Linked DNA regions of Zea mays. The protein of the gene in region 1 binds, or shares a complex with, the protein of each later gene. Links are inferred from orthologs where the notes say so. Each region holds a gene or a part of one and is shown on either strand. Other genes may lie near its edges. The genes, in order: rps8; 30S ribosomal protein S31, chloroplastic-like; 30S ribosomal protein S10, chloroplastic; 30S ribosomal protein S6, chloroplastic-like.

Region 1 (6,668 bases):
CCCATTGATAAATCCTTAACTTTAGGTCTTTTTTAGTTTAGGGATTTTTCGAGTTGATTCATTCCACCGCGAAGTCCCCTGCATGGGTATCTAGGAAATAGTTACTTCCAAGTGAATCTTCCCTAGATACCTAAAATCTATTTTATTATGATCCATTTCGCGAAAATATAGATTATGCCAAAGATGCCAAATTGCTTTCTTTTTTCTTTTTATTCTAACTCAAAAAAGAAGAAGAGGAAAAAATTGCAATGATTTAAAGCGAGAACTTGTTCTTAGGTAAATCAATTGGGAGATGCTTCTCTAGAGTGTCCCATATCAGTTTTCCATCTTCCATACGAAAACTATTAATTTGCATAAGATCTTCTTCAGTCTTACTCAAAAGGTCCAATAGTGTATGTATATTGGCCCTTTTGAGACAATTATACGTTCTAGAAGGCAATTCTAATTGATCAATAAAAATACAATTCAATGGAATTCCTTTTTTGTTTTTCTTTAGATTAGTGAATCTTTTTTGAAAGGTTAAAAGGGGTGGAGTTAACCTGTTTTTATTTTCTTCGAAACTAGTGCCCTCTTCCTCTGTGTGTAGAAAAGGAAGAAATAAATCAATCAAATTACGAGAAGCTTCATAAAGCGCTTCTTTAGGAGTTAAACTTCCATTCGTCCATATTTCTAAAAAAAGTATCTCGTGTTTTTCATTTCCATTCCCACAAGAAAAAATACTATAATTCACATTTCGAACAGGCATGAATACAGCATCTATAGGATAACTTCCATCTTGAGAGTTCTTTCTGAGTTCCGTATGATATGCGCGATCTCTCTTGATCTGTAACTCAATACAGAAATCAACGGGTTCTCTCAAGTTAGCTATAGGTTGTGTCGTATCAACGATTTCTACGGAAGGCGGTAAGATTATATCTTGAGCGGTTATGTATCTAGGACCTTTGACGCAAATTGATGCGTCTCTAACTCCATAGAGATTACTTCTCAATACAATTTCTTTCAAATTTAGTAAAATTTCTTGTATGGATTCTTCAATACCTACTATTGTGGAATATTCATGTGGCACGTTCCCAAATTTGGCGCGTGTGATACATGTTCCTTCTATTTCTCCAAGTAAAGCTCTTCGCAAGGCAATACCGACAGTATCCGCTTGACCTTTTCTAAGCGGAGACAGAATGAAACGACCATAATAAAGACGTTTACTATCTACTCTTGATTCAACACACTTCCACTCTAGTGTTTGAGTGGATCCTGTTATCTCTTCTCGAACCATAACAGACTATATTATTTGATCATTGAATCGTTTATTTCTCTTGAAAGCGGTTTCATTTTTTTTTACAGACGTCTTTTTTTAGGAGGTCGACATCCATTATGCGGCATAGGTGTTACATCGCGTATACAACTTAACCGTACACCACTTTTAGCAATGGCTCGTAATGCGGCATCTCTTCCGCTACCAGCACCTTTTACCATAACTTCTGCTCGTTGCAAACCCACTGTACGAATAGCATCTACTGCTGTTCTTTGACCAGCATAGGGTGATGCTTTTCTTGAGCTTTTGAATCCACAAGTACCTGCGGAGGACCAGAAAACGACCCGACCTTGTGGGTCTGTAACGGTTATAATGGTATTGTTGAAACTAGCTTGAACATGAATAATCCCTTTTGTTATTCTACGTGCACTCTTCCGTAAACTAAAACGGGCATTCCTACGCAAACCAATACGCACTTTCTTACGTGAACCTATTTTTGGTATAGCTTTTGTCATATTTTATTATCTCATAAATATGAGTTAGAAATAACAAAAAGAAAAAAGATACAAAGATATCCGTTTCAGGTTAAAATATATCCTTTACTTTCATTTTTTTTATTTGCAATTTGGGCATTTCCGTGGGTACTTTTTACTTTAATTAGAAAGAAAAGCTATTAGAAAGAAAAGCTTCTTTTTCGAAAGATTACCCCTGTCTTTGTTTATGCTTCGGATTGGAACAAATAACTCTAATTCGCCCACGCCTGCGAATCAGTCGACATTTTGTACAAATTTTACGAACGGAAGCTCTTATTTTCATATATGGGTATTCCTTTCTTAAACTATGAATCTATTCTTTTGGAAAAAATAAGTCTCTTCACTTAAATTTTGAAACTTGGAAGTTATTACCCCAGAAAAACCTAATCCTTTGAATCTTTGGTATCCTTCAAATCTTCAGTATCCTTCGAGTCTTCGGTACGCTTCGAATCCTTATGGGGAAGTCTATAAATTATACGACCTTTGCTGGAATCATAACGACTTATTTCAATTTTGACCCTATCCCCCATCAGTATTCGTATAGAACTAGACCGGATCTTTCCTGAAATATAGCCCAGGATGATGGTGTCATTCTCTAGGCGAACGCGGAACATTCCGTTGGGTAGGGCTTCCGTAACTAAACCTTCGAAAGTGACTTTTGCTTCTCTCGGGTTTTTTTTTTCTCTACTATTTTTTTTTTCTGTCATATATTTTTCTCCTATTTTTCTATTTTTATTTTCAAAATAGGAAGTTCGAGATAGAATTTGGGTACTATAGGTGGGGCCATTACCATATATAACATAAAACTTCTCCCCCAATTCTGTTTAGTCGAGCTTCTCGATCTGTCATTATACCTCGAGAAGTAGAAAGAATAGCAATTCCCATTCCGCCCAAAACCTTAGGAATTCCTTGATAGTTGGCATAAATTCGTAAGCCAGGTCGGCTGATACGCTTTAAAAAGGTTCTAGTTCTATATATTCCCTTTCTAGTCTTTCTCCTTTGATGTCGCAAAGTTGAAACCAAGAAATATCTGTTACTTTCCTGATGTTTCCGAACACTTTCAATAAAACCCTCTCGTAGAAGTATTTTAACAATGTTTTCGGTAATATTTGTGGATACTACTCGAACAGTTCCTTTTTTATTCATGTCTGCGTTTCTTATAGAGGTTAGTAAATCAGCAATAGTGTCCTTGCCCATAAGACTCTAATTCTAGGTTCCTCCTAATTTTTCTATAATCAACATGTTTTCCCTTTTCTTTAAATTTAGGATTTTAAAGCATATACGTGAGACAAAATCTACTAATTTTTTCTTTGATCTATATCTCGTCTACTAGTATTTATAATACTTCAGGAGCTAATGAAACTATTTTAGTCAAATTCAATTCTCTTAATTCTTCGGCAACCGCGCCAAAAACTCGAGTTCCTTTTGGATTTCCTTTTTGATCAATGATAACTGCTGCATTGTCATCATAGCGTATTATTATACCGTCGTCGCCTTTGAATTCTTTACGTGTACGTACAATTACAGCTCGAATTACTTCGGATCTTTCTAGAGGCATTTGGGGCACTGCGTCTTTGATTACAGCAATAATAACATCACCAATACGAGCATATCGCTGATTACCAGCGGCTCCTATGACTCGAATACACATCAATTTTCGAGCTCCACTGTTATCTGCTACATTTAAAAGGGTCTGAGGTTGAATCATATTATTTGGATTTCCATTTGTTATTTCAATGCAAAAGGATGAAAGAAATATTGTCTTTCCAGAAAGAAAAACCAGGGGTTTTTTATCTTCAATATTCCTTTTTGGGGTTCTATATCTCTAATCGAAGAAATTGACTTCGTATGGGCATTTTACTGGCAGCTATAGAGATAGCTGCTCTAGCTACAGTTTCGGATACTCCGCTCATTTCATAAAGTATTCGACCTGGTTTAACAACGGCTACCCAATATTCGGGGGATCCCTTTCCCGAGCCCATACGTGTTTCTGTGGGTCTTATTGTAACCGGTTTGTCGGGAAATATACGCACCCATATTTTTCCACCACGACGTGCATATCGTGTCATTGCTCTTCGTCCTGCTTCTATCTGTCTCGCGGTGATCCAAGCGGGTTCAAGTACTTGAAGAGCATATCTACCAAAACAAATATGATTGCCTCGGCAGGATTTTCCCTTCATTCTTCCTCTATGTTGTTTACGAAATCTAGTTCTTTTGGGGTTATAGTCGATGGTTCCTTCTTAGTTCCATCTCTACTACAAAACTGGACATGAGAGTTTCTTCTCATCCAGCTCCTCGCGAATGAAATGAGAAGCGTGCGAATGTCATTTCTCTAATTCCATAATATTCAAAAATATTATAGATAGATACACATCAATATATAATAGAAAAAGTTAGGTTTTTTTGATTTTGACTTTCTTAAACTTAAAAAAGAAAAATTAAATATATAGTCAAGAAAGAAGATCTAGAATATATCCAAATTCAATATTTATATAAAATGTAATCCTTCCTTTTTTGGAATCTCCTTTTTTTTTATTCTTATTGAATCGTGGTAAAGTATTCTAATCCAATAAGGATTTCGCGGGCGAATATTTACTCTTTCCTGTCTTATTTGTTAATTTAGAACCTTATCAAATAAAGCAATTTTGTGGTTTGTCCGCCATCCACCAATGAAGTGTTAGGATTCTTTCAATAAATCCTATGTAGTCATAGGTTTTGTCGTTCCCACAGCTTCTCCTTTAATGGTTAGGTTTGAATCCTGCAATGGAGCTTCCAATTTTTTTTTCCGAGTCAATTTTCTCAGTTTTATTAACCCGGCTGCTCTTTATTTATTGCTTTATATTTTTATTTGTTGTTTCAAAAGTCAAGTTACGATGAATTCTCTCTTTTTTTTGAGAATTTTATTATATTGATGCTTTATCACATTGCCTTTTTTTTATGATGAATTCATAGACCATACATATGGGAATCCTATATCTTTCTTATTCTTCTTCCTTCTATCTATCATCCCTCCTTTTATCCACTACCCTTTAGTTTTGCTTCATAGCCTAGAATCTGGTTTCTTTTGTAGAGAAAAAAATGCAGTTGCTACAACTATATGATAGATCTACTCATTTTTGATAGATGTATTTATTCACATAGTGACTGTTTCTTAGTTAGGATCTCGACAATACGAAGCAATAGGTTGGTTATTAGTTAATTTTCTATCATTACTAAGTTTTTTTCCATTTTTGACCCTAAAGAAAAAACTAACAGTCACACACTAAGCATAGCAATTATATTAAAAGATTTCTTAATTTTCATTAAATCTTATAGAAAGAGGGATACTTCTTCTTTTTTTTAGGGATTTTTGGAAAAACAAGGTTTTGTCTTTTTTATTCTATCACTGGCGGAATGGGAAGACATGGTTAGTTATTCTTCTTCTACGAATATCCAAATTTTGACACCTAATACTCCATAGATAGTTCGAATTGGATAGCAGCAATAATCAATTTTAGCGCGAATTGTTTGGAGGGGTAGTCTACCCTTTTTGATGCATTCGGCACGTGCAATTTCTTTTCCTGCTAGACGACCCGCAATTTGGATTTTTATTCCCTTTATATCCGCTTTTTTAGTTAATTCAATAGCTTTTTTCATTGCTTTTCGGAATGAAACTCTATTTTTTAATTGGAAAGCTATATATTCCGCAAGAATATTAGGTTGTCTATAAGGTTCTTTAACCTTTTCGATAGCAATATTAAGTCTCTGGTTTACAGAATTAACTTCCTTTTGGAGATCTTTCTCTAATTCTTCGATTGCTCCCTTTTTCTTTAATAAGTTGGGGAATCCAATATGGATTATGACGTGGATTGTATCGATTTCTTTTTGAATTTCTATATGTGTAATTACTTCAGAACTTGAGTCTGATTCCATTTTTCTATTCGAGCCTTTTTTCCTATTCTTTTGTATATAGTTCTTGATACAATTCCGTATTTTTTTATCTTCCTGTAGACCTTCAGAATAATTTTTTGGTTGTGCGAACCAAAAGGAATGGTGATTTTGGGTTGTACCAAGTCTGAAACCGAGTGGATTTATTTTTTGTCCCATATTTTTCTATTATATTTCTTTTTTTTTTACTGGGAATCGAAATCTTAGATTGATCTAAAGATTATTTTGATTTCTTTACTATATTTAGTACAATTGTTATATTACACATCGTTTTTTTTATAGAATAACTACGTCCTCGAGCTCGAGGTCTGAATTTTTTCATAATAGTACTCCTACTGACTTCGGCTTTAGTGATGAATAAATTCGTTTTGTCGAAATCCCTATAATGAGTAGCATTTGCTGCTGCCGAATAAACCAACTTTAAGATGGGATACGATGCTCGATAAGGCATGAGATTCAGTATCATAACGGTTTCCTCGTAGTAACGCCAGCGAATCTCATCTAGAACTCTTTGTGCTTTGAAAACAGACATATGTATGCGTTTTTGTGCTTTGAAAACCCGTTCGAATTTAAGTAGACGATCGGTTGGAACTTTTCTTGCGAGTTTTCTCAGCCCCTTCTTCTTCTTTATCCTAGGGGTATACTTTACCAATTTGAAACTTGTCATAAATAAGGTTATTACCCGCCTACCTTTACTTTATTTGATTATTTGAATCCTATAAATTTTGTTTATTCTGAATCTTTCTATTCTGAATTCAATTAACGACGAGATTTAGTATCCTTTCTTGTACTTTCATAACTCGTGAAATGCCGAGTAGGCACGAATTCCCCCAATTTGCGACCTACCATAGGATTTGTTATGTAAATAGGTATATGTTCTTTTCCATTATGAATCGCGATTGTATGGCCAACCATTGCGGGTAGAATGCTAGATGCCCGGGACCACGTTACTATTA
Region 2 (7,948 bases), on another chromosome or scaffold:
CTATGATAATCGAATCTACGTATATAAACAACGAAAATAAATATTTAACAAAAAAAACATTGGAAAATATGATTATCACATGCTGTATCCAACTGCACTCTATGTTTTAATTATTATCTTTTTTTTGTCTTGGAATGGTGTTTACTAAAATGATAATCCCACATATAGAAGGTACGGAAACCATAGTTATTCTAATAATTCGAAGCTGGAAAGCGCCTTTGTAATAACCAGTTAACAACAAAAAAGACTCGATGTCACCGATGCACTTTACACTATGTTGTATATAGCAGCCAAAATATATGGTAAAAAATAGATAGATATGCCTCGTGGAGAAAGAGAACCGGCCGCCCAGCCCAACCAAAACAAAAAACCAGAAAGCCGCGTCGACGAGACTGCACATGAAAACCGGGGGCAGCGCCGCGCCGAACCGGGCGCGCCGCACAAGGTTCGATCCGCCGGCTCCGGTGGCGCACCCAGATCAGATCCCCCTTTCGCTGGTTTCTTTCCCCTTGGCCAAGCCCAAACCGTCTTTAAATACACCCGTCGTCGTCCGCATCCCCCGCCTGCCTTAACCATTCCTCCCAACACCACCTCGCCTGCGATCTTCGTAGCCTCCGTCGCGTCGAGCATCGATCATGTCGGCCTACTGCGGAAAGTACAAGGGTACGTCCCATCGTCTCCTCCTCCCCCCCTGTCGTGATCGTATCCTCGTTCGTTGCTGATCTTCGTTGCTGATCTGCTTGTGATGCCTTTAGGTCTCGTGTATCGTAGATCTGTTTAGTTGTTTCGTTGTTGGTGCGCTCAGATCTCGCTGTGATTGATGGGTATGCTAAGGCTAACGGCTATATGGACGGGAGAACACTCTTTGTAGACTGTACTGTCCACAGATCGGAGTTTGAAATGGAATGTGTGGACAGAAATCTGGTGGCCTAGCCTAACGATTCGTATAGGTCTGAGAGACTCGTTCAGTTGTAGGATTTGTGGATTTTTTTTAGATCCGTACAGGATTGTGCTGTCGTGTGCCCGCCAGGGGCTTGGTGGTTGCCAAAAGGTGATGCCTCTGATCGGTTTGGATATGGGATTTGCTTACTTTTTGCTTCGATTTTATACATACATATAGTGGTATGCATCTGCTCGTCCTGTTTCCAGTTGATGAAACATATTCTCCTGCTAGCAAGTTTTATACAAAAATAGAGGGACTAGTTTTTATATGGTTGTTTCAAATTATATATAGCCTGTTTGTTCAATCTAAATATATTTGCCTGTTGTTTCATGGCTACTAGAATAGATGCTGGACGCATATACATCTAGGACAGTCAGATATGTAAATCGTTTAAAGCTTTGTGCTAGTCTAATCTTGATCTGTGGTTCCTTTTAGTCATGATGTTTATGCCGATACAATTATATATAAAGCAGTTTTTGGTTAATAAACAGTAAACTTCCTGAATTAATAATTAAAGTTTATTTTGTATTATTCAGGATGGCCTCCTGATTTGATAATGGAAGTCATTTTGTATTATTCAGTATAGCCTTGGTACCTGGTAGATAGCCATGCTTATTATGCATATTGTTTTGCAGATGAGCTCATCAAGAATGCTGCCTACATTGGCACCCCCGGCAAGGGTATCCTTGCTGCTGATGAGTCCACTGGCACCATTGGCAAGCGCCTTTCCAGCATCAATGTCGAGAACGTTGAGGAGAACCGCCGTGCCCTCCGTGAGCTCCTATTCTGCTGCCCTGGTGCTCTCCAGTACATCAGCGGTGTGATCCTCTTCGAGGAGACCCTGTACCAGAAGACCAAGGATGGCAAGCCTTTTGTTGATGTCCTCAAGGAGGGAGGCGTCCTCCCTGGCATCAAGGTTGACAAGGGCACCATTGAGGTTGTTGGCACTGATAAGGAGACCACCACCCAAGGCCATGACGACCTTGGCAAGCGTTGCGCCAAGTACTACGAGGCAGGTGCCCGCTTTGCCAAGTGGCGCGCTGTTCTCAAGATTGGCCCTAATGAGCCATCACAGCTTGCCATCGACCTGAACGCTCAGGGTCTGGCTCGCTATGCCATCATCTGCCAGGAGAATGGTCTGGTGCCAATTGTTGAGCCTGAGATCCTTGTTGATGGCCCTCATGACATTGATCGCTGCGCTTACGTCACTGAGACCGTCCTTGCTGCCTGCTACAAGGCGCTCAACGAGCACCATGTCCTCCTGGAGGGTACCCTCCTGAAGCCCAACATGGTGACTCCAGGCTCCGACTCCAAGAAGGTGACCCCTGAGGTGATTGCTGAGTACACCGTCCGTACCCTCCAGAGGACCGTCCCTGCTGCTGTGCCTGCTGTTGTCTTCCTCTCTGGTGGACAGAGCGAGGAGGAGGCCACCCGCAACCTCAATGCCATGAACAAGCTCAGCACCAAGAAGCCGTGGTCCCTGTCTTTCTCCTTCGGCCGTGCCCTCCAGGCGAGCACCCTCAAGGCCTGGGCTGGCAAGGTGGAGAACCTGGAGAAGGCTAGAGCTGCCTTCCTCGCCAGGTGCAAGGCCAACTCTGAGGCTACCCTCGGCACCTACAAGGGTGATGCTGCCGCCGACACCGAGAGCCTCCACGTCAAGGACTACAAGTACTGAGTTGCTTCTCTTTGCGTGCCCGTTTTGGAACTCCTGCCTACGAGCTAGGTTGCGGAGTGTGGTTTGCTCGTTAGAGCTTATTTTCGGACATCCAAAAAACATGCTTCCTATGTGGGATGATGGTTATCTTTATATTTGTATGTTAATTAGTCTCTTTGCTGTTAAATTTCGTGTAAGTTGGTCCTGCCGATGGAGAATCGAGCAGCTCCCTTTTTTTGTTCTATCAACTATGCTGTAATTCTGGCTATGTATCGGCAAAAACAATTCTATATGCTGAGTTGGAGTCGGCAAAAATTCATATATGCTGAGTTGGAGACAGCAACTTGTTTGGATCATATTTTGCTGAGACACTCGTGAGAGATTGGCATAGCAAGAGACCTGAAAGTGTTAGCTGAAGTTTGAAACAAAACTTACATCATTGCAACACATATTAATAACACAACACGATCATTAGTTCAGCACGCAAGATCTTTGCACATTGCTGACGTATGAATAAATCGCTAGTTGGATTTTGTTTTACCTGTTAGGGCTGGATTGTTCGGTTAGAAGAGGATTGAAAGAGATTAAATCTTATTAATCCCCTTACAAATGAAACGTGTAATCTCTCCGTTACCACTAGATGAATCATTTAATATCTTCTAAAAAAAACTTATTTCGACACAGTTTCATTTTGAAGAGAGTAAAGAACTCAGCAGCTGGAAAGGAAAATAAAGAACCCAGTCAGTAGTAGGAACATTACTAGCCAAATGAAAGTGTGGCAGCCTACCCATCGATAATTATAGGCGAGGAAATAATTACTTAAAATATGTAGTATTTGATTTGGTACAAACTAGGCCAATTAAGCTCAGGGCAAATATAAAGCAAGGCAGAACTCGGACAACCTATTCCAGGATGTCCTCGTCAATCTCGATTGAAATGATCTCCCCATCATCGAACTGATCCTTCCTTGGAGGAGCAGGAGGGGCAAAGAGCCGCGCAGGCCCAGTTCCCTTCTTCTTGTTGCGCGGCCTCGCCTAGACATGATCAGACAGCTAAATAAAACAGAACAGGGGGAAAAAACCAAAAATGCGATGTAAATTGTGCTGGAGCACTCACATTGCCATATGAATGGTTGAACCTTTTGCCCCTTTTCGTTTTCTTGTCCCCTCTCCCGCAGTAGACTGAGCAAGACCAGATAAAGTTTAAAACTGTCTGTCAGTCCACAGGATCATCAGTATTGATATAAACAGAGGCCAAAAGGGACAGCACCCCAGTTGGGTTCGTAGTACAATCAGAGAATAAAATCCTGAAGCAGGCTATGGACACTAGAATTTCAGAAATTGATTTCAAATTATGATTAACTAAAACTTCTTTGAAGTACACGCATGAGAAGCATCCATCTTTGACTCTCTGTATTAATAAACCAGAAACAAGTGTTTACAACAGCTGAGGCCAGTGGCAACAGAGACGACCAAAACTATAGGCGGTAGTGATAAACAAGAGATTCAGCTTCCTTGATTGGCACTCACTCCTGACACCGTGTGAAGTGAATCAGTCAACCGGTAAAGGTTTAATAATCTACTACAGTAGTAGTTTTCAGTTCATATATATGCTCCTGCTCCTCGATACCGTAATTTTTTCGTGTGGAACAACTTAAGCTCTTAAGAATCCAGTTTCTAGAAACTAGTTTATAAAAAAAAAGGTTAATGGTGTTTAGAATCACCTTAATTTTTATAAATTGATTTTAGCTAGAGAAGACTAGCTTCTTGGTTTTTTAAGAAACTAGGAATCCAATTTCTATAAATTAGTTTGGAACCACGTCAATTTCTATAAAAAAAACTAGGTGCTTCCAAACAGACCCTTAGGCCATGTTTGGAAGCAACCTAGTTTTTAAGAATCTAGTTTCTAACTTCAGTTTCTATAAAGTGATTTATAAAAAAACTGGTTAATAGTTTTTAGAACCACCTCAATTTCTATAAACTGCCTTTAGCTAGATGGGATTAGCTTCTTGGTTTTTAAGAAACTGAGAATCCAACTTCTATAGACTGGGACAAAAGCTAGTATATTTGGAACCACCACAATTTTCATGAACCAGTTTGTTAAAAACTGGATGCTTTCCTTGGTCAGTCTAGTTGACCCAGATCGACTAACAGCATCACAACCTCCATCTCTTCTGGGGAGTACATTTCAGTAATAAATCCCTTGACTATTTCATAAAAAGAAGAAAAATCCCGATTGAATTGGAACGAATTTCCCAAGTGTCAGTGTAATAGTAGTCATTGCCTTTTCTCCCTTATTGCGTGGAAAACAGTAGCCATTGCTCGTGACATGTGTTAGAAAGAAACTACTCCTACATCGGACAAAAACAAGGGGAGTGAGGAGGTAGCTGTTTAATTACCGTCAAGAACTGGAGTGACGGTGGCCGACAAGACGGCGCCGACGGCGAACGCAGCCCGGGCGCGGGGGAAGGCGGCGGAGGCTGCGAGCGCGTAGGAGGAGGTGGAGACGTAGGATGAGACGGCGCCGTGGTTGTGAGATGGGAGGGCCGCGGCGGCGGTGGACATGGCCATGCCCTGGACGGCGAGCAGCGCCATGGGGGCAAGAAGGAGCGAGCAAGCGCAGGGAAGAGAGACTAGTGTGCTCGGGAATGGTGGTGTGGTGGATCAGGTTGGATAAGGGATAAAAGGGCTCGCAGTTGGAGCCACAGCGCACATCTAAGATGGGCTGCAGGGCTGGTGTGGGCTGGGCCAGAAGTAACCTTATCGGCCATTACTGTAAAGTATGGTGCACACACCTAGCCAGGCCGTCGTCGAGTCTGGTCAGGTCTTGGATCCTTTTCTTTCTCTTTCTTTTTTTTGATAATTAATATAATTAAGATGACCAAAGCTTAGCTTTGATTCATGCTAACAGAAAACAAAACCCTAGATGCTCCAGCGTCGTTCTCCGGCCCGTGCTTCTCCTGCTGAGTTAGGGTTCTGGTCCTTCTCGAATCTCGATTTCGGCGGTGGACTGGTGGAGGCAGACACTTGAACCCATGGTGGCCGGCCTCACGGCACCACCCGTGCAAGGTGCCAGCTTTCCGGACTGGATGAGCTCATGGCTTGTGCATCAACAAACCCTGAGGGTAGGGTGAGCGTCAAGGAGCGGCCCCGAGCTGTCCCCCACCCCCGTGCAGGCAATTTTCGGTCCTGGAGCTGGAGTTAGTAGTATTTGGGAGCGTGTGGCTGGAGCGATTCCAATTCATTTCAGCAACCGAAATACCGAATGGAGGAGTTGCCAAGGTCACTGTCAGGCACTCACCTGTGCACTACTGTACAGCACAGATTGAACGGTCGCTATCAGGTTCATGTCAACCGAGCAGAGTTTCAGTTTCAGTGCCCAATCATGAATAAAAAACCGATGGCCAAAATGTAGTGGTGGGAGAACGCCTCAAGCAAAGTGCCTTGCACGGAGTGGAGACGGTTCGATGGCATGACCTGACCACATGTGTCTTCTTTCTTCTGGAACCTCTAGAAGGAGAGGAACGGATGAATCCTCAACAACGCTCACGATTATGAATGGTGCAGGTGGCCACGAGAATTGAAGACGATATATATAGAGCAGAGAAGTAGAGGCCCCCTGATTTCTTCATTCTGAACAGTCCGGCAATTCGCCAGACGAGAAATGTCAAGCTAGTATATTATATATAAAACCCGAGACATTTTCCTTCTTTATTTACAACCATTACAGCGAGCAACGCCACCATGCAATAAAGCCAGCGCAACGGCGTGGCATGCCCACGAGAGTATCGTCTGTTGGTCGGCAACGGCTTCGCTTTGCCAACTCGATCCGCAGAGGATGGTCGGCTGCGGGTAACCCTTGTCGCTTGTACGCCGCGTCTTCTTCCCAGACCCCCTTCCTCTTCCAGAGCTTCAGAGTGGGGGGTGGGGGGAGGAGCCTTGCTAGACTAGGTAGTCGTAGTAGACCAGCAGCATGTTGTCGGGGACGATCAGGGGCAGGCTGTCGATGAAGCTGAGGAAGTGCTTCACGTTCTCCTTCTCCAGCGTCACCGTGTCGATCACGTCGTCGTCGCCGGTGAGCACCCACAGGTCTCTGGACCGGACCCTCTTCAGGCTCCCGCGGCAGAACGGGCATGACTGGGACCTTGTGTACCTGCAGTCACGGAACATCCAGGTTACAGCGTTCAGCATTGGTGTTGCTTGGAACAGTACAGGATGGGGTCATTAAAACAGTTGGGGATGATCCCTCTTATCGCTACAACAATAGATGGGCCCAGTGGTCACCAAAAGAATCTACTGCAATAACCAATCCCATTGAGTTTATCCGTAATCTAATCTAACTCAAGCAACATTATTGTGAAAGCTACTATTGACTTCGCCAAACTTGGAGTGATGCAGCCGATTGATGAGTATCATTGAAACCAACAACCTGACATGTATCAAAACACAATGACTTGCAGATGACATCCTTGGTACACAAGCATGATCCGCCAGCTAAGAGAATACAATCATTTAGGATTTAGAATGCCACGTCAACGAGTGTCTCCCCTTTTATCCCTTTATTATTTTTTTGTCTGTAACTTAGCAGTTGGCTGGCACTGGTGAATAATGGTTTAACGACTTCATTAAAGCTACAACAGCACTCCCAGTTGTCTGCTTTCGATTCCGTTAATGGACCATTGCTAATTGTTGACGAAACGTGGGGGCTTTTTAACAACGGCGCAAAGTATCATAAACTTTGTCCAGCAAATCTCTGGCATTCAGCTGGACTGCTGGAGGAATGAAGATAATGAATCTCCTGACATGGCACATGGTCATTAGATCACATAAAATCCCTCCTAGTTTTGACAAACAGAAGGCTGAAAAATATAGAACAAGAAACACATGGACTCCCATGCCATCATGGTGGTAAAAAACAAATAGAAGAAACTCCGCACATGAGGGGAGCGAAGATTAAAATGGAACCCCCCTCCCCCCCCCCCCCCCCCCCCCCCACACACACACACACAAACACAAACATTCAGTTCAGGAGAATGTAGCATCTGAATTTGACTAAATGGAGGCTTTAAATGGTGAACATGAAAAAAGAAGTGCATTGGGACTATGATGGGTTGTTCAACCACCCCCTCCCCACTCCCCACCAACAATGAGTGAGTAGAAGTAGCCCACAGAGAAGTTTAAGAAAATCATTACTGAACCACCCTTGCGCTATCAAGAGTTCAAGACTGCGTCAATGCTTACTCGTTTCCTCGAACCTTATCTTTAAAATCGACATCACATTGAGTCTGTTCAAACCGCTAGCGAATTTTTTTAATGGTGGCGTGTGATATCGGGGCCCTAACTGATAACGAT
Region 3 (8,282 bases), on another chromosome or scaffold:
CTAGACGAATAAACTAGACAGCCAGTATATCGGATGCTGCCCAATTTGTTGACTGATTCAGTCCTCTTAATCGACCATACTATTCTACTTCCTTAGGGAAATTAGTAGTGCTAGTTTATGAGTGCAACCAATGTAGACCATCTCTTTCAAATATACTGTACTCTTGAGATGCAAAGACAATTCATATCTTCTTTCCTATTACAGGCTCTACATTTCTTTCAGTACGTTGCCGATTTTGCTTGGTGTTTCCATTTGAAGAGTAGCTTGCTCAAGTTGCCCTGTCTGTCACTGACCTTTTTGTTTCCAACAAGAAACCATGCATGGCTCACACACGCAGGTGCTTTTGATCGTAGAAGTGTGATAGCTAATACTGATAGGAGGGTGCGGACGTGTGGTGTTGCGCACTCTTGGGTGTGAATGTAGCGTACTGTACTCTTGAAGACTAGCATATGCAATTTCAGTGCCCTAATCAGATATTGGGATGTACTTTTAGCATATGTTTCCTCTAGTGACCAAGCAGACGATATAGATTAAGAAAAGGATGGCCAAAGCACTGAAATCATATGGGCTATGGGCCATTCAGAACCCCAAGCTTACTTTGTGGATTTTATTACTCGCGGAGGATGTAGAAACGAGGACTATTGAGGCAGGAGTCGGGGGGCTGCTAAAGACCAACTTTATGCCTTCCTTTTCTTCAGAAAAAACGAATATCACTTGATCTATTAAAAATAGAACAGCACACCTAGCCAACTGAAAGTGTACTTTTTTTTGAAAAGAGAAAGAAAGAAACTACCATTCTCGTAGGATTTTAGCCCCTCTAATCCTCTCCAGTATCTTTGCTACTAAACAAGCCCTAAGGAATAGTTTGGAAATTTAAATCCTCTCCGAGAATCATGAATTCCCGGAGCGGATTTAAGTTTCCAAACTATCAAAGAAAAATAGAAAGAAATCCCCTTTACAAGTTACAAAGCACCGTCAGTCTGTTGAGCAGAATCAGTGCAACCAGCAAGAAAGAGTATTTTGCTTATCCAGACGACTCAAACGATCCTTCAGAAGCTTACAAATTTGGCCAATCCTTCGTCTGCTTCAGACTTGCTAGAAGAAATTTTAGTGCCACCAATACAGTAATACAAGTATACAGCTAGCATGAACCATATCATCTGATATACTTCAAATCAAGTACATTCAATTCTGAACATCTTCTTTCCTAGTACAGGCACTACATTTCTTTCAGTCCCAGAGAAAAGCTGCAGAAAATGAATACCTCATTACATCAAACTTCGGAAAGTTCAGCTCCAACAGAATCATAGCTTAACCTCAACATCCACACCGGCAGGGAGCTGGAGTTGCATCAACGAATCAATTGTTTGGGCAGTTGGATACATGATATCAATCAGCCGCTGATGCGTCCGGATCTCGAAATGGAACCGTGAGTCCTTGTGCACGTGAGGAGAGTTAAGCACACAATAGACTCTCCTCTTAGTGGGCAGAGGAACGGGACCCATGGTCTTTGCGTTGGTTGTTTTGGCAGCTTCGATTATCTTCTTGCACGAGTCCTCTATCAACGGCACCCAGTAGGACCGCAGCTTGATTCTGATCTTCTGCTTGGGTGCAAGCTGAGAACAGATAACATTCATAAAAAGTGTTATTAGTCGTTGAAAGATAGCAACTTCTGCATGCAAACTGAACAGTGAAGAAATAAAAGCATGTGTTTGATTTAGGGTAAGGGTCATATAATGTTTAAATATGTTTCCAAAAGGCAAAATAAACCTTATAACACTTCAATTACCTGTACAACACTTCAATTACCTGTACGACAAACATGTAGTTGCTAGGAATCAAGACACCTTGATGTTATCAAGTCAATTAAGGTCAATTTGTGAAGGCAAGCGCATGCTTTTGCACTATATATATTGCGTGTGTGTTGGGCGGAGAGGAGGGATATTGTAATGTTCTGGAAAATAAACATGCTCAATAAAACAGTCCTCCAGCAAAATAGGCTATGTCGTGGCTATGTTTGTTTCCACCTACCATCATCCAGATTTAGTAAATTTCAGTACAATTGCAGCTAATTCAAGCTGATGTGATGCAGGCCAAATATTGTAATATTATGAAAAACATAAATGTTCAATAAAACAGTTCTTCACTAAAATTAATATATCAAAAATATTGGGGCAAAAAGGGTATGTCACATGGCTGCGTTTGTTTCTGCCTACCCTCATCCAGTTTAATAAATTTTCAGTACGGTTGCAGCTAATTCAAGCTGATGAGTTGCACATCTATGATCAGCTCTTTCGATAATATGCCATTCATGGTTGCTTATATACTTATCAAACGCTAGAGCATCCTCTGACGGCACAACATCGTCATTAGCACCATGTACTGTCAGCACCCTGCAGTTTGGTCAATAGACATGCATGCAGATTGCAGAGTGCCTGTCTTAAGACCATCCATCAGACTTTGTCTGGTCACACGGTAGATGATACTCCTATTTTGTCTTCCACATCAATGAAACCATGCTGATTAATCCTTTCCATGTAATCATTTACGGAATGATCTCCAATTCTACGTTCCAGCTTAAACCTTCCAGAAAGGTTAATAGCTTTAGATATACCGTGAATTCGTGATACATGGATGTATAGAGGATAACCACATTTTCTCCTTTACTGTGGCCAGCAATAGCATGGGTGTCACGTTTGTGTTTTTGAAATGCAGGATCGCATCACATAAAACGTCCACTTCGTTATAGTAACCTTATCCAAAAGTACCTTCGCTTTCTCCATTACCAGAATAATCAAAACACATATGCTGACATTTTCTGATGTTAATGCATCAGCGAGACTTAACATAATTCTACCTTCCTTTGATGATCTAAATCTGTGACACAACACTACAAGGCCCTTAGATCCAGCTTCATGCAAAACACCAACAAGTATCTCTCCGTATCTGTTTATTATCACCATTTCCTCTTGTGATACATCTAAAGAAAATAAGAATCACTATGGGAGGATCCCAACTGTGCACAAGGCCTTGTAAAAATTTCGTTTTCAGCACTTCCATACAACAACTGCAGACAAATATTTACGATGGACATGCTTAACAAGCAGAACTGCAGAAGCATGAAGCAAAGTAAACATAAAACTACAAGGAGTAGCCTCAATGACAGATTATACAGTGTTAGCTCTATTTAATTTTACTACTTAATAGCCATTTTGGACATGGATCTTCAAAACACACCTTTGTCCTGTTTACAATTTGACCATTTCCATGTGAGAAAAGTAAATAAGTTTATACAAGTTTAAAAGGCTGAGCACACACATTGACATTATATATTTTAGAATGAAGGAAGCATCTCAACTCGACTCCAACAGTTCAATGACAGTACCATGGAGGTTCCTAGGGAGACAAGCAAGAGGAATTGCATAACTTGTCAAATTGTAAACACAACAACACAGTTAGATATTGCTAACTGTTCAGGGGAACACACTGACTACCACAGTGGGCGCAATTACAGCGAGGTAAAGACAATAAGGAATTCATGGTCCATGGTTGCTGAGCGCTTGAGACAACTGCTGTCTTTTTTTTTTTTGCTTTCTTTCGATGGCCAAATGATACTAGGCTTCAGTCATGAGTCAGTATGTCACAGCCTCACAGGCCTAAATATGGGCCACCATGTCGGGCCTAGTGGCCCAACTGAGGCCCAACACCAGGCCCTGATGAGCCGCGGCCTCTACTGCCCCTAGAATCCCTCCCGCACTGGAGAATCCGGAATAGATGGAAACTCAAAGGTAATCTTCAATAAGCTTGGAATAAATAAAATATAGCTTGTTTAGAAAATAATGATAGAGTTTGTTTAAGAAAGAAGATTGGTTTGTTAGGAAACAAGATTACAAATCTATAAGAATGATGCTTGGGATACAAGTCCTATAGGAACTATAAATAATTAAATATAGGGGCAAATAACTATTTCAGTCTAAGCAAGAATAGAGTTATTGCTCCCTCCCTCCCTCTCCCTATGCTGCCCCTCCCCCTCTCCCACGCCGTCCACCATTTTTCAAGTACGTCAAATAATTCCAAGGAGGAACAGAGCATTAATAGGCAGAAAACTTTGAAAGTTTGATCCAGCAAGCTTTCAACTGCTAAGTAGAATCTGGAAAGCTAAACCACCATAGACCCTCAGATATCCTCATTCTAGTCTGATAGGAATGATTTAAAGGACAAACGAAATGAATTTCCCACATAGTCTCTTCAATCATGTGCTGGTAACTATGCATGGCTTAAGCATTAAGGATGCTAAACTGTCTAACGTGATATGGACTTCTACAAAAACATACATTTTTGAAGTCCAAGTCACACTCACGTTAAGAACAGTTTACACTAAGATTAACGGCTTAAACGAATGTGCTGACTGATATTGTCTAGCATCATTGCATTGCGTCCTGAACGATTTCTAAATGCCATTTACACAAATACCCAGAGCACATCGTGCTCTCCATTTATTGTGATTAAACAATCACAAGTAAAATGTGCACTGCTATGCAGCAATAAAAGAGAAACATGTTGTATGGTTTATGGTTATAACTTTTCACAGTTCATTCGATCAAGGAAGCAACAATATCAGAACAAAAGATTCGGTAACATAATAATCTGGGAAATTTTTAACTGCTATGGAAGGTACCTGCTCCCCATCATCCCCAATCGACGATGGCAACGGAATTCCCGTTCCTGCCCCTTCCTGAAAGCGCGAGGTTAACAATTTTAGTCACCGAATGAACAAGGTCTAACGAGTGTGCCAACTGAACCAATGTCGCCATGTAATTGTAACCCCCATAACCAAGCGGTACACGCCATCATGAAATTCGCAGGTTTTGGACTCTGCGTGTGCGAAAAGACACGGCAATATCAGTTCAGTCACGTACCGGTGGCGCGTCGGGGATGCCGTCGTCAGAGAGGGTCTCTGCGGGCGGTGCGGCCGCGGCCCGGGAGCGGAGGGACGCGCCGCGGAGGGAGGACGGGAAGGAGAGAACCGAGGGGCTAGAGTTTGCGGTGCAGCGATGGAGGAAGAGGAGGGGGAGCGGGGAGGAGGTGGAGGTGGGGACGGCCATGGCGAGGGGAGGGGGGGTGAGGAAGCCGTTTGCCGCGTTGGGTTTTGGAAGACCTCTGCTTCGCTATCGCGGTGTGTTATCCGGTTCCAGGGGCATTTGCGCTCGAGCCCCTCCAGCTTTGTTACTTTCAAAGCGAGGTGTCTGGTGGCAAACATGGGCGAGTTCTGTCTCCTCTAGCATTACTTTCGAAGAAGATCATGAATGATTTGTTCGGAAAGGAAGATCGTGGAATTGGATATTACTGTGACCTCAGCTAAAAGTGTCGATCTGGCTGGCATAAACTTGATCGTTTCAAGGAACAATCAGTTACCTTCTTCTTGCCTGGATAGACTGTCCATACCAGCGCTCAAATAGGAGAAGCTACATTCACAGCTCCTGGCACGAGGCAAAAGAAATACAGAATGATGAGCCATAGAGGTGGCCAAACTAACTCTACTACAGACATACATCTACAGAGCACCAGCTATTCACTTCCCTTCTTTATCCCGGCCATCACCACAATCCCCAGCACTCCTTTTTCCCAATCCCCTTGAGAGCAGCTACAAGATCTAAGCCCGACTGCTGCCCACGAAGCCTTGAATATGATGGAACGGTTGCAGTAGCAGCCCCCCCCCCCCCCCCCCCCCCCCCCCCCCCCCCCCCCCCTGGTTAAGCTGCCTGCTGGTGCTGGGAGATGGAACTGTATTTGATTTGTTCGACAATCGATCACCAAAAGTTGGTTTCGCTGTGATGACTGTTCTATCAGAATTCATAGCACGTGATGCCTCATTAAGGTTGAATCCATGAACGTTCGTCTTGTCCCGATCAGATTTAGGAGAGGTTGAGAAAGGGGAATTTGGTGACTTCTGTGAGAGCAGTAACCTTACAGATCTCTGCCAGAGTTTTGCGCTTGTCCTCAAGCTGACAAACATGCCAGATTTAGCAGCAGCAGATAAGCACTTATTAACAACCACCTCACCAATATGAGCTGCAAGTTCCTTAAGAGTCGACATACAATATTTCAAAAACGGAGATTGGTTTTCTGCATAATGCTACAGTAAGTTCAGATCATCTGACACCTGAGCAAATTTATTCACCTAGAGCAAGCTGCAAAAATCGGGGCATATGAATAGCTATTGAGTTGCTGTTAAGTGGTTGACTCAGTTTCAGAGATTCGCCAAGCATTTTGATGCATTTTCCTATCTCTTTTGAGGAAGATTGCTAGGTGTAGAGATTTCCTGTTCACATAGAAGACAGAAGGTGAATTGGTTGTGATTGATAAAATTAGTGTGACATGAATAGTATACCAAGTTTCAGATATTTGCCAGGTACTTTTAAAGTTCTTTCCTTTCCTGCTATTTTTTTCTGAGGAAGATTGTTAGCAAATAGATTTGTTGGCTATGTAGCAGAGAGAAGATGACTCAGTTCTAATCAACCAATATAGCATTAAATGAAAATACATTCCACACAAAGTGTTTGCGTAACAAAGACCGAACATAACCGAGCTGACGATCATTCGGTTCATTGGCTGGCAACAAAGCATCTTTAAAATCGTTTGGGGTGAATTCAGGTATTCCCAACGGGGTTAAAGATACCCTAATAAGTATTAGCTACAACGTCAGTCTGCGTATAGTGAGGTAACTAGATTTTTTTTCTTCCATCAATGTTAATGGGAATCACAACATCATGTCCAGCACACATATACTCTAATAAATATGGATAAAGGTGAATACATAGTCATCGAAACAGGCCATAAATGTTTTCGTTGGAATTTTTCATGATTCCATTCCGAGGAAAAATCGATGGGGGGTGTGTTGGGGCGAAGGCAAAGACGCCACCCTTCGCTCGTCGCCTTTCGCTGCAGTCGCTGGTTTGACGAAGACAAAACGGGCAGGGACACCCTTCGCTTCATTCAGCACCAGACGAAGGCCTGCGGTGACGTCTCCCCGCAGCACGGCTTCGTCCTGCTCTAAGGCCCACGTGTGATCTGGCCCATTGTAACGGGCCTCGCGTGGCCGCCTTTGTGTTACGGGCCTAGTTTGTAAAGGCATTCTTGTAAGTACAGCTTGTAACCCTGCTTTATGGGAATATTCTGGGGATAAACTAGGTGTCCGAGGGCACATGCGTCCTTAACACAAGGCGCTGGGCACTCAGATACCTATAAATACCCCCGCACAGTGCCCGTGAGAGGCTAGATTAACAGAGCCATTTGCCCCCGAGCACGTAACCCTGTTGTCACCACCGTTCACCCTTGTTGGCCTCCTTGCTACTGAGAGCAAGTTCCAACATTTGGCGCCCACCGTTCGTGCTACGACAAGACCACCCGCGATGGCACCCAAGAGAGCTAACCCGAAGGCTGACGAGGCTGCGAAGGCAGCACTGCTGGCCGCGAGAAAGGGCAAGGCCCTCGCCCTCACCCAATCCACCCACCAAGAGCCCACTGAAGACAACATTCCCCGCACCTGCGAAGACAACATTTCCCACACCTGCGAAGACGACACCTTCCGCACCTGCGGGCCCGAAGGACAATCGCAGCCGCCCCCAGGCTTCGCCCCACTGGAGGGCGCGGATCTCACCGAGGACGGCGAGGTCCTCGGCGTCTCAACAGAAGAACAGTTACAGTTGTGCGCCCTGCGCCTCAAGAACCGCAATCTCCAGAGGCAGAAAGAGATACTCGAAGCCAAGCGCCAGCGTGTGTCCGCACTAGCCAAGGTGCGGCAAATGATACGCGACGAGGAGCAGAAGGCCCAAGACCTCGAGCGCGAGATCGCGCTGATGCAGCGCGAAGGCCACCTCGGTCTACAGCAAGAGCCACCCCTCCAGCAGCGCGCGCAACCGGAAGACACGCGCTAAGGCCACCTCGGCCTGCAGCATGGCCCACCCCTGCAACACCGGGCGCAGCCGGAGAACCCGCGTTTCCCCCAGCATGACTACGCCTTCCAGCACGGCGCGCCATTCCAAGGGGTCAACTACCTCGACGAGCGAAGTCCCCTGGCGCCACACCTCCAAGTGACGCCTTGGCCAGCTAACTTCCGAGCAGGGGCATATCCCAAGTACAACGGCAGCACCGATCCGGCGCAATACATAATAAGTTATCAAGTCGCCGTTGCATCCGCCGGAGGGGACCACGCCACAATGGCGAAGTCTTTCATCATCGCCCTAGAGGGCCCAGCACTCATCTGGTTCACCAGATTGCCT
Region 4 (7,614 bases), on another chromosome or scaffold:
GTTTATCCTGTTTAATGAACTCTGACTGATGGAACCTGTTTTTGACTCTTATTATTAGCTGGCGCGACGTCCGGAGCCACCTTCAGACCCTTCTAAATATACTGCCGCTGATGTTTGGATTGTGAGATTCCATATAACCAATAATTATTTCGAATTAAGTTGTCATTGTTTGGTAGCGTTAGTTTGCATAGTATTGTCGTCTATCTTTTCTGTAGCATCATTTGATGATAGCTTTTGTGGCTTATTATGACGTAACCCTGGTACAAAGGCCTGTTCAAATCTGTGTCTTATATGCTGCCGACAATATGACATAATTCTTGGATTACTTTTTTTAATAGATTGTCAGATTCAATGTATATGTTTCTGTAGCCTAATCATCTAACGGGGAAACTGATTTTAAACATAAGTCAATCGTGTGTTGAAAGTAAATTAACTTGCCTAGTTCATATTTCTTGAATGTTCTGATCAGATATTGTTGTAGAATCCTTTCTCTGTCAGTTTAGCTTTTAAGTGCACAGTTCAATCTTTGTACACTGGAAAATTGTTCCTGTCATGTATGTACCAGCACATTTACTCGACAATATGATTTTCTTTACAGCGCGTGAATTACACATCTAGGGTTTCAATGTTTGTAAGGCACTTATTCAGCATCAACCCTTTGTGCCTCATGTTTTCAAATGACCCTGTTGTTATGTGCCTCATGTTTACATCATACATTGATATGGATTTCTTGGTAGGAATGGTTTGCACATGTAATTGAATTTACTCTTTAGAGGTTCTTGTGGTCTACACTGCCTTTTTATGGTTTAATGGAATAATGGTTGGCACTATTTTGTTACAGATTTTTCATCTTATTATCTGTGTCTATTCATCATGATGCAATGCTAGATACATACTGATGATTCTTTGTTTAATTTGTAGACCGATCAAAAGTTGCGCCTCTGTGATATATGTGGAGCATTTCTGAGTGTATATGACAAGTAATGCTTCTAGCTCTTTGCATTCCCAAAAATATCTGAAGCTGTCAAATTGAATATTTATCCTAAGCTGAAAATATTGGGTTTTTATTGGGTTTAAAAATTGCACCTTGATAAATCAACCTTGACTTGTGGGTTCCATCGGGCTTTTATCCCTAGCCTACCCCAACTTGATTAGGATAAAAGGCTTTGTTGTTGTTGATCCTAAGCTGAAAATATCTCAACAGTGATCGACGTCTTGCTGACCATTTTGGAGGGAAACTGCATCTAGGCTACATGCTGATTCGTGACAAACAGAAAGAACTTCAGGTAAATTCCTGCATGCCTATGCCCAAAGTAGAAGTTAAACACTGGAGATTTATGAAACAGATTAATACTTCCAAGGTTTCCAAACCTTAAAGACAAATAAAACAAAATTTACATTCTGTTTGGCCATCATCAGAATACGATAATCTTGGTTTATTCACTTATCCTCAATCTAAATCTATAAAGGTGCAATTTATCAGGTGCTGAGTGTAATGTACCGTTTTCTGCTTTAAAGAGTTACTCTGTTTTGGGCCTTTTGGCATCTGTGAGTTTTCTTATCTCAAGAGCCTCAAGGTTCTCACCTTCCCTCTATATATTATTTGATTCTCACATTGCCGGGCACTATGGTTATTACGATAGTCATTACAGGAATTAGTCCATGTCGCGTGATTGGAATCTCATGCGATGATCTTCATACCTATGGCTACAACAGTCACTGTCTGTTGACAAATGTAAGCATAGGAGCGTGCGGACCATGGTATGAAAAAAATCATGTTTACTTAATTGTGACAAACTGCTCATGTGTCTGCTTAGTATCGATTGTTGGGCAGAAGCTGGAGGTTGCCTTTTTACTGCCTGAGCCATATTATGTAGACCAGGTGACAAATAATACTGGTTAAGTTATCCTGAAAGCACACTTCTTTTGCCAACATTTTGCTGTAAGTGACAACTTGTTCTGTTTTCTATCTGCTACCTCCTCCATAAGTTTGCAAGTTACATTTTGCTGAAGCAACCTTGCCTGTAAAGTATCGCCCGCCCTATCTTTTGGAACGTTGTCTCTGATTTTAAATATGCCAAAATATCATTATCTGTACTGTCAATAAACAAAATACACTGTGGCATCTTGCAGGAGCAGAGAAACAAAAGGAGGACAGGCAAAACTGAAGATGATAGGCGGTATGGTATTCTGTATTCCGCATCCTCATTGTTTTAGTCAGCAATCAGCATCATGGTCATCTTATCTGAAAGCATGCCCATTTGGCTCTTTTAGATCTAGAGAGCAGAGCAAGGATCGAAACGGCCCGCCGTCCAGGGATAGAGATTCAGAAAGGAGAGACAGGGTTGAGTCTCGAGATGGAAGAAGAGATTATGATAGGGAACGCGATAGGCGTCACGATAGGGACCGTCGCCATGACCGCGACCGGGATAGGGATTATGACCGCTCCCGCGGATATGACTCAAGGAGAAGAGAGCGTTCACGCTCCAGGGAGCGCAGCAGGTATTGCTGAATAATAGGCACACTTTTTTATTTGAAACCCTTGTGCCTCACATCGTTGACTGACCCAGGTATTTGTTTATGATTTCAGGCGCCATGAGAGATACTAAATGTTACTCCATGGCTGACAGATTTTGGATTGCTGGCGTCTGTTCTGGTTTGTGTTGTGCTTTGTGTCTTATCTTCCGAAGTTTCCTGTTCCTGCTCGAGAAATCCGAAAGCCAATCTGCGTTCTGCATCATGTCATGTCCTAGTGTCGTACTGTTTAGTTATATGCCGAGAACATCTCTTTCATCAAATGAATATTTGGAAACACCAACGCACTTGACGCTAAATGGGAATGAAGTGTGGAGTATTTAAACGCCTCTGAAATCAAATGAAAGTTGTACTTGTACGAATCTCTTCCACAAATTGCACTGTATATGCTTGTACTGTTGCAGATTTACGATGGGTTTGGACTGTTCTCCATCCCCGGAGCGCGCTCAGGCTCGACGCTACCTAGCTACGGACCTTTATTTTTGGTACCTGATGAAACATGATGGTTTTAGGAGGCGCGGTGTTTCTCTGGCGAACGATGGCCGGACGTCCATTTTCGAGAACCACAAGACAAGAAACATATTCAAAAAAAAAAAACTCAACAATCATGGCAAAGGTGGATTCTTGTACAGCAGATTTCTTGTAGTATGGTATGTGAACAAAACAGTGTTCAGGGCCTGAAGGCGGAGGAGGCAACCCGTCTAACTAGACGGCCTTCCGCTGGCGGACCTTGAAGCTGGTGGAGCGGATGACGTCGTCGTCGGCGTTGAGCTTAAGCTGCAGGGCGTCCATGGACTCCGGCTTGGTGAAGTAGGTGATGAGGAGGTAGATGCCGTCGTAGTAGGTGGACGGCAGCCCGGTGCGGCTGTTCCTCTTCCTGATGCTGTATGCCAGCGGGATGACACCGCGGTTGAAGACCTCCACGTACATGGCGCCGCCGGCGACGAGCAGCTGCAGCACAGGAAAACACCAAGCTGAGCTGGATTGGAATGGTACGCAGATGGCATGTGACTGATAACAGCGATTAAGGGCCCGTTTGGAACTAACAAATTGTTAGCTAGGTTAAACCAGCTAATGGACTGATTGTTAACTCACAAATTAGCTGAGTTATTAGGTAGGGGGTGTTCAAACCTCTACTGCTATATATTCAAGCTGTTCACCTGTCTTTAATCCGAAACGGTTTCTTGTCTCTATATATTACCGCCGCAGCATCTGACTTCAATGTGAACAAACTGATTAGCTCTAGACTAGAGTGAGTTTCTAACAGAAACAGTGCCTAACATACATGGTGAATTCAGGATAGGATGGCAATTAACTATGGCGGATCCACTTTTATACGTTTAGAAATCCTAATATTTATTGGATGAAATTCGAAACACTCGGAACCCTTTTAACATTCGTCTCGCATTGCTCAAGTATGATACCAGCCTGTCCAGAAATTATCATCTGTCTGCTCTCTCTGCCATCGGAACAGCAAATGGTAGCGAGATATGCAAGAGGCAGAGGTGAGCCGATCGAGCCGTGCCCGTGTTACGCTGCTCCATCCATCCAGTTAGCTATAGTGGCAGCCAAACGGAGCGGAGGCAAACGCAAATTACCTCCTCGTAGCGCTGGATGAAGGCGAGGCGCTCCTCCTCGGACATGTCGGGGCGGAGCACGACCATGGTCTCGTACTGGCGGAGGCCGGGTGGGCAGGGCGGCATCTCGCGCTCCTCCAGCGCCAGCGCGGCTTCCGCGGCCGACATCCCGAGGCCGCCGCCGCCCAGCCCTAGCCCCGGGCCGAACCCCGACTCGTAGCCGACCTCCTCCTCCTCGTCCGCGCCGCCGGCCGCGGACATCGCCGAGCCGCCGTAGAAGGACGCCGCGTACCCAGTGGAGACCGCGCGGGGGCGGGCGAAATGGGAGGGGGCGGGGGAGGGGAGGCGAAGCAGCATCGCAGCGGGCGGGCAGGAGCGGAAGGGCGGCAGCGCGGCGGACGCGGATGCGGAGGAGAGCGGCAGCAGTGCCATGGGTGGCGGCATTGGAGGGGCCAAGGGGAGCCGAGCGGCAGGGGGGCGACGAGCGCGAGCAGGACAGGAGCCGGAGAGCGGGAGGAGGCGCTGACGCTGTTGGCGTCGCGTCCACTCGATAGATAAGGATAGGACGCCACGCCCTGTTTGGAGTTTGCACGGATTTTCATATTGGTGGAAAAACGGCCGGGTTGCCAGTTAAACCAAAATTGTTTACAACGTTAACTTTGTGTGTATTTCAACTATATGTAGTTATGCATTTCTTCTATGTTTTATGTGTATGATTCTTTTGTTGTCATATACGCAGCATGTATGTTTTCCTTTATTTACCCATAGAAAAAGTATAAATTATTCTTTTAATTATACTAATTGATTATCTAAGTTTGCTGTCCAAAGATTTAGGCAGCTAAAATACAATATCAACAGCGGACCTATATTTTTTTAAAAAAATCTCGAACAGTTGAATTGACTAAATATAGAGTAGACCTAATCTTCTCTGTATACGAGATATAAGGGGCCTGTTTGGTTCAGTTTTTTTCTGACCAGCTTTTCTGAAAATCTGGCTGTAAGGAGAATCTGGCTGTGGGGAGAATCTGAGTATCATTACGATTACGTGTGGAGGAAAATAAAGTTGTTCATAGGACTCAGGATCTAGAAAGTGATGAATTCATACTATTACAACGACTTAACCGATTATGTGTTTATATTGATTTTGGATGGTTTTTGTCCCAACGAATTTTATAGAAGCTGGCTGAAAAGCTGAGCGTTTGGCAATCCGCAGCAGCTTTTGGTGGCCAGAAGCTGCTAGAATCCGAAACAAACAGGACCAAGATAAAAGATCTAGTGAATTTGAACACCGAAAAACTTTGTGTGAAGGTCTGAAGACATTCTATTGTAGGTCAATTTGACAGGACTTCGACTCTACTTTCTCACGACTTCTTAAAGGGGCCAATAGCCGAAAACAACTCCTTGTAGAGCTCAAAAAGTCAAAGTCATTTTTTATAAAAGAGACACGATGCTGAAATATGGCTTTTATTTTTGGATTTTTTAAGCTTTTGCTCCAAGTTTTGCTGGTGTTCTCATTTTTACCCTTAGTCGTGTTTTTTTACTTAGTTTTGTCCTTCTAGTGTTATAGAGTAGTAGGGCAAAACTAAGAAAAAACACGACCAAGGTTAAAAATAAGGAATGAAGCAAAACTAAGGGTACAAATTTAAATAGCCCATTTTTTTACTTACAAAAACTTCAGCTTCATAGAAGGTACTCTACTGACAATAAAATAAGGAGCTAGAGCCCTTCTAAAAGGAGCCATATCAAATGAAACAACAGTATGAGTTTATTTGAGATTCACTAAAAATAATTTAAATTTTTGAAAAACTTTGTCAAACGATCTAGATCCACTAAATTTATATTTACCAAAATGGGGGATCTAAAGGCTAGATCCACTCTCTTGGTGAAGCTTCTCAATGGAAGCTCCAACAACATAAGTTTGATAGAGTTGAGAAAAGTTATCGACCACTACCATCGATTACAGTCCAATTCTTTCTAATTTTTCCACCTCTCTTCTTCTCCCGTCACACATCTTCTCTCTTCTAGCGTCGCTTTCTTCACCATGACATCTCCTCCCATGGCGAGCCCCTCCCTCGTTGTCTACTCGTGCCCGCACCATCGCTGGTCGGACCATGACCGTGAGGTCAATAGTGTGTGCCCTCGTTGGCTGGCAGCGCGAGCTTCTAGACTAGTGATGCACACTCCTTGACCGACTGGCCACCCCACCCCGTTTGGTTGTTTAGGTCAATCTTTGGATTATGCTGATGAGAGCACCTAGAGGGGGGTGAATAGGTGATCCTGTGAAACTTGAAAACTTAAGCCACAAAAACTTGGTTAATCGTTAGTACAATAATTGCCAAGTGGCTAGAGAGGAGTCAAAACACAATAACCACAAGAAATCAATCACAGAGATGACACGGTGGTTATCCCGTGGTTCGGCCAAGTACAAAACTTGCCTACTCCACGTTGTGGCGTCCCAACGGACGAGAGTTGCACTCAACTCCTCTCAAGTGATCCAATGATCAACTTGAATACCACGGTGTTCTTCTTTACTTTAATCTTTTCCCGTTTGTGAGGAATCTCCACAACTTGGAGTCTCTCGCCCTTACAATTGAATTTCACAAAGAAGCACAGAGTAAGGGAGGGAAGCAACACACACAAATCCACAGCAAGATGCGCAACACACGGTCAAGAATCGAGCTCAAAAGACTATCTCAAAGTTCTCACTAGAACGGAGCTCGAATCACTGAGAATGACAAACGAATGTGCAAAGACTGAGTGTGGATGATCAAGAATGCTCTAAGGTTGCTTGGATGTCTCCTCCATGCGCCTAGGGGTCCCTTTTATAGCCCCAAGGCAGCTAGGAGCCGTTGAGAGCAAATCTGGAAGGCCAATCTTGCCTTCTGTCGTCGGGTGCACCGGACAGTCCGGTGCACACCGGATACTGTCCGGTGCCCGATCTCCTTCCTAAAATGGCGCAGCCGACCGTTGCGGATCTGGGAGCCGTTGGCGCACCGGACATGTCCGGTGCACACCGGACAGTCCGGTGCCCCCTTCCGACCGTTGGCCCGGCCACGTGTCGCGCGCAGATTCCGCTGCCGACCGTTGGCTCACCGGACAGTCCGGTGCACACCGGACAGTCCGGTGAATTTTAGCCGTACGCCGTCGGTGAATTCCCGAGAGCGACCTCTTCACGCCGAGTCAGCCTGGCGCACCGGACACTGTCCGGTGCACCACCGGACAGTCCGGTGTGCCAGACTGAGCTGAGTCTTGGCTGTACACAGCCAAGCCTTTTCCACATCTTTTCTTTTCTTCTTCTTTCTGTTTCTAACACTTAGACAAGTATATTAGTACACAAAACCAATGTACTAAGGCTTAGAAACATACCTTTACTCTTGATTTGCACTTTGTCCATCCATGAGCATAACTTCACATTTAAGCACTTGTGTTGGCACTCAATCACCAAAATACTTAGAAATGGCCCAAGGGCACATTTCCCTTTCAGCTGAACATGTGCAACCCC

What was found.
Region 2: rps8 (region 1) and 30S ribosomal protein S31, chloroplastic-like share a complex: the UniProt entries of both Arabidopsis thaliana proteins name them as parts of the 30S ribosomal subunit. The link is inferred for Zea mays from reciprocal best matches to the Arabidopsis thaliana genes rps8 and PSRP4.
Region 3: rps8 (region 1) and 30S ribosomal protein S10, chloroplastic share a complex: the UniProt entries of both Arabidopsis thaliana proteins name them as parts of the 30S ribosomal subunit. The link is inferred for Zea mays from reciprocal best matches to the Arabidopsis thaliana genes rps8 and AT3G13120.
Region 4: rps8 (region 1) and 30S ribosomal protein S6, chloroplastic-like share a complex: the UniProt entries of both Arabidopsis thaliana proteins name them as parts of the 30S ribosomal subunit. The link is inferred for Zea mays from reciprocal best matches to the Arabidopsis thaliana genes rps8 and AT1G64510.

Annotation. Positions count from the first base shown.
Region 1 is NC_001666.2:75,917-82,584, forward strand, and holds rps8 (ribosomal protein S8), read right to left. Parts: upstream 2,983-6,668; coding exon 2,572-2,982; downstream 1-2,571. Other genes in the region: petD (cytochrome b6/f complex subunit IV), read left to right, coding at 1-36; rpoA (RNA polymerase alpha subunit), read right to left, coding at 254-1,273; rps11 (ribosomal protein S11), read right to left, coding at 1,336-1,767; rpl36 (ribosomal protein L36), read right to left, coding at 1,955-2,068; infA (translation initiation factor 1), read right to left, coding at 2,169-2,492; rpl14 (ribosomal protein L14), read right to left, coding at 3,122-3,493; rpl16 (ribosomal protein L16), read right to left, coding at 3,603-4,004, 5,047-5,055; rps3 (ribosomal protein S3), read right to left, coding at 5,197-5,871; rpl22 (ribosomal protein L22), read right to left, coding at 5,933-6,379; rps19 (ribosomal protein S19), read right to left, coding at 6,472-6,668. UniProt on the Arabidopsis thaliana protein: One of the primary rRNA binding proteins, it binds directly to 16S rRNA central domain where it helps coordinate assembly of the platform of the 30S subunit.
Region 2 is NC_050098.1:170,387,168-170,395,115, forward strand, and holds 30S ribosomal protein S31, chloroplastic-like, read right to left. Parts: upstream 5,250-7,948; 5' UTR 5,192-5,249; coding exon 4,996-5,191; intron 3,779-4,995; coding exon 3,714-3,778; intron 3,632-3,713; coding exon 3,500-3,631; 3' UTR 3,287-3,499; downstream 1-3,286. Other genes in the region: fructose-bisphosphate aldolase, cytoplasmic isozyme, read left to right, coding at 636-663, 1,579-2,618; putative RING zinc finger domain superfamily protein, read right to left, coding at 6,539-6,749.
Region 3 is NC_050096.1:24,107,554-24,115,835, reverse strand, and holds 30S ribosomal protein S10, chloroplastic, read right to left. Parts: upstream 5,224-8,282; 5' UTR 5,106-5,223; coding exon 4,920-5,105; intron 4,736-4,919; coding exon 4,679-4,735; intron 4,673-4,678; exon of another isoform or gene 1,623-4,672; intron 1,617-1,622; coding exon 1,305-1,616; 3' UTR 996-1,304; downstream 1-995.
Region 4 is NC_050096.1:303,986,094-303,993,707, reverse strand, and holds 30S ribosomal protein S6, chloroplastic-like, read right to left. Parts: upstream 4,672-7,614; 5' UTR 4,557-4,671; coding exon 4,134-4,556; intron 3,487-4,133; coding exon 3,241-3,486; 3' UTR 3,117-3,240; downstream 1-3,116. UniProt on the Arabidopsis thaliana protein: Binds together with bS18 to 16S ribosomal RNA.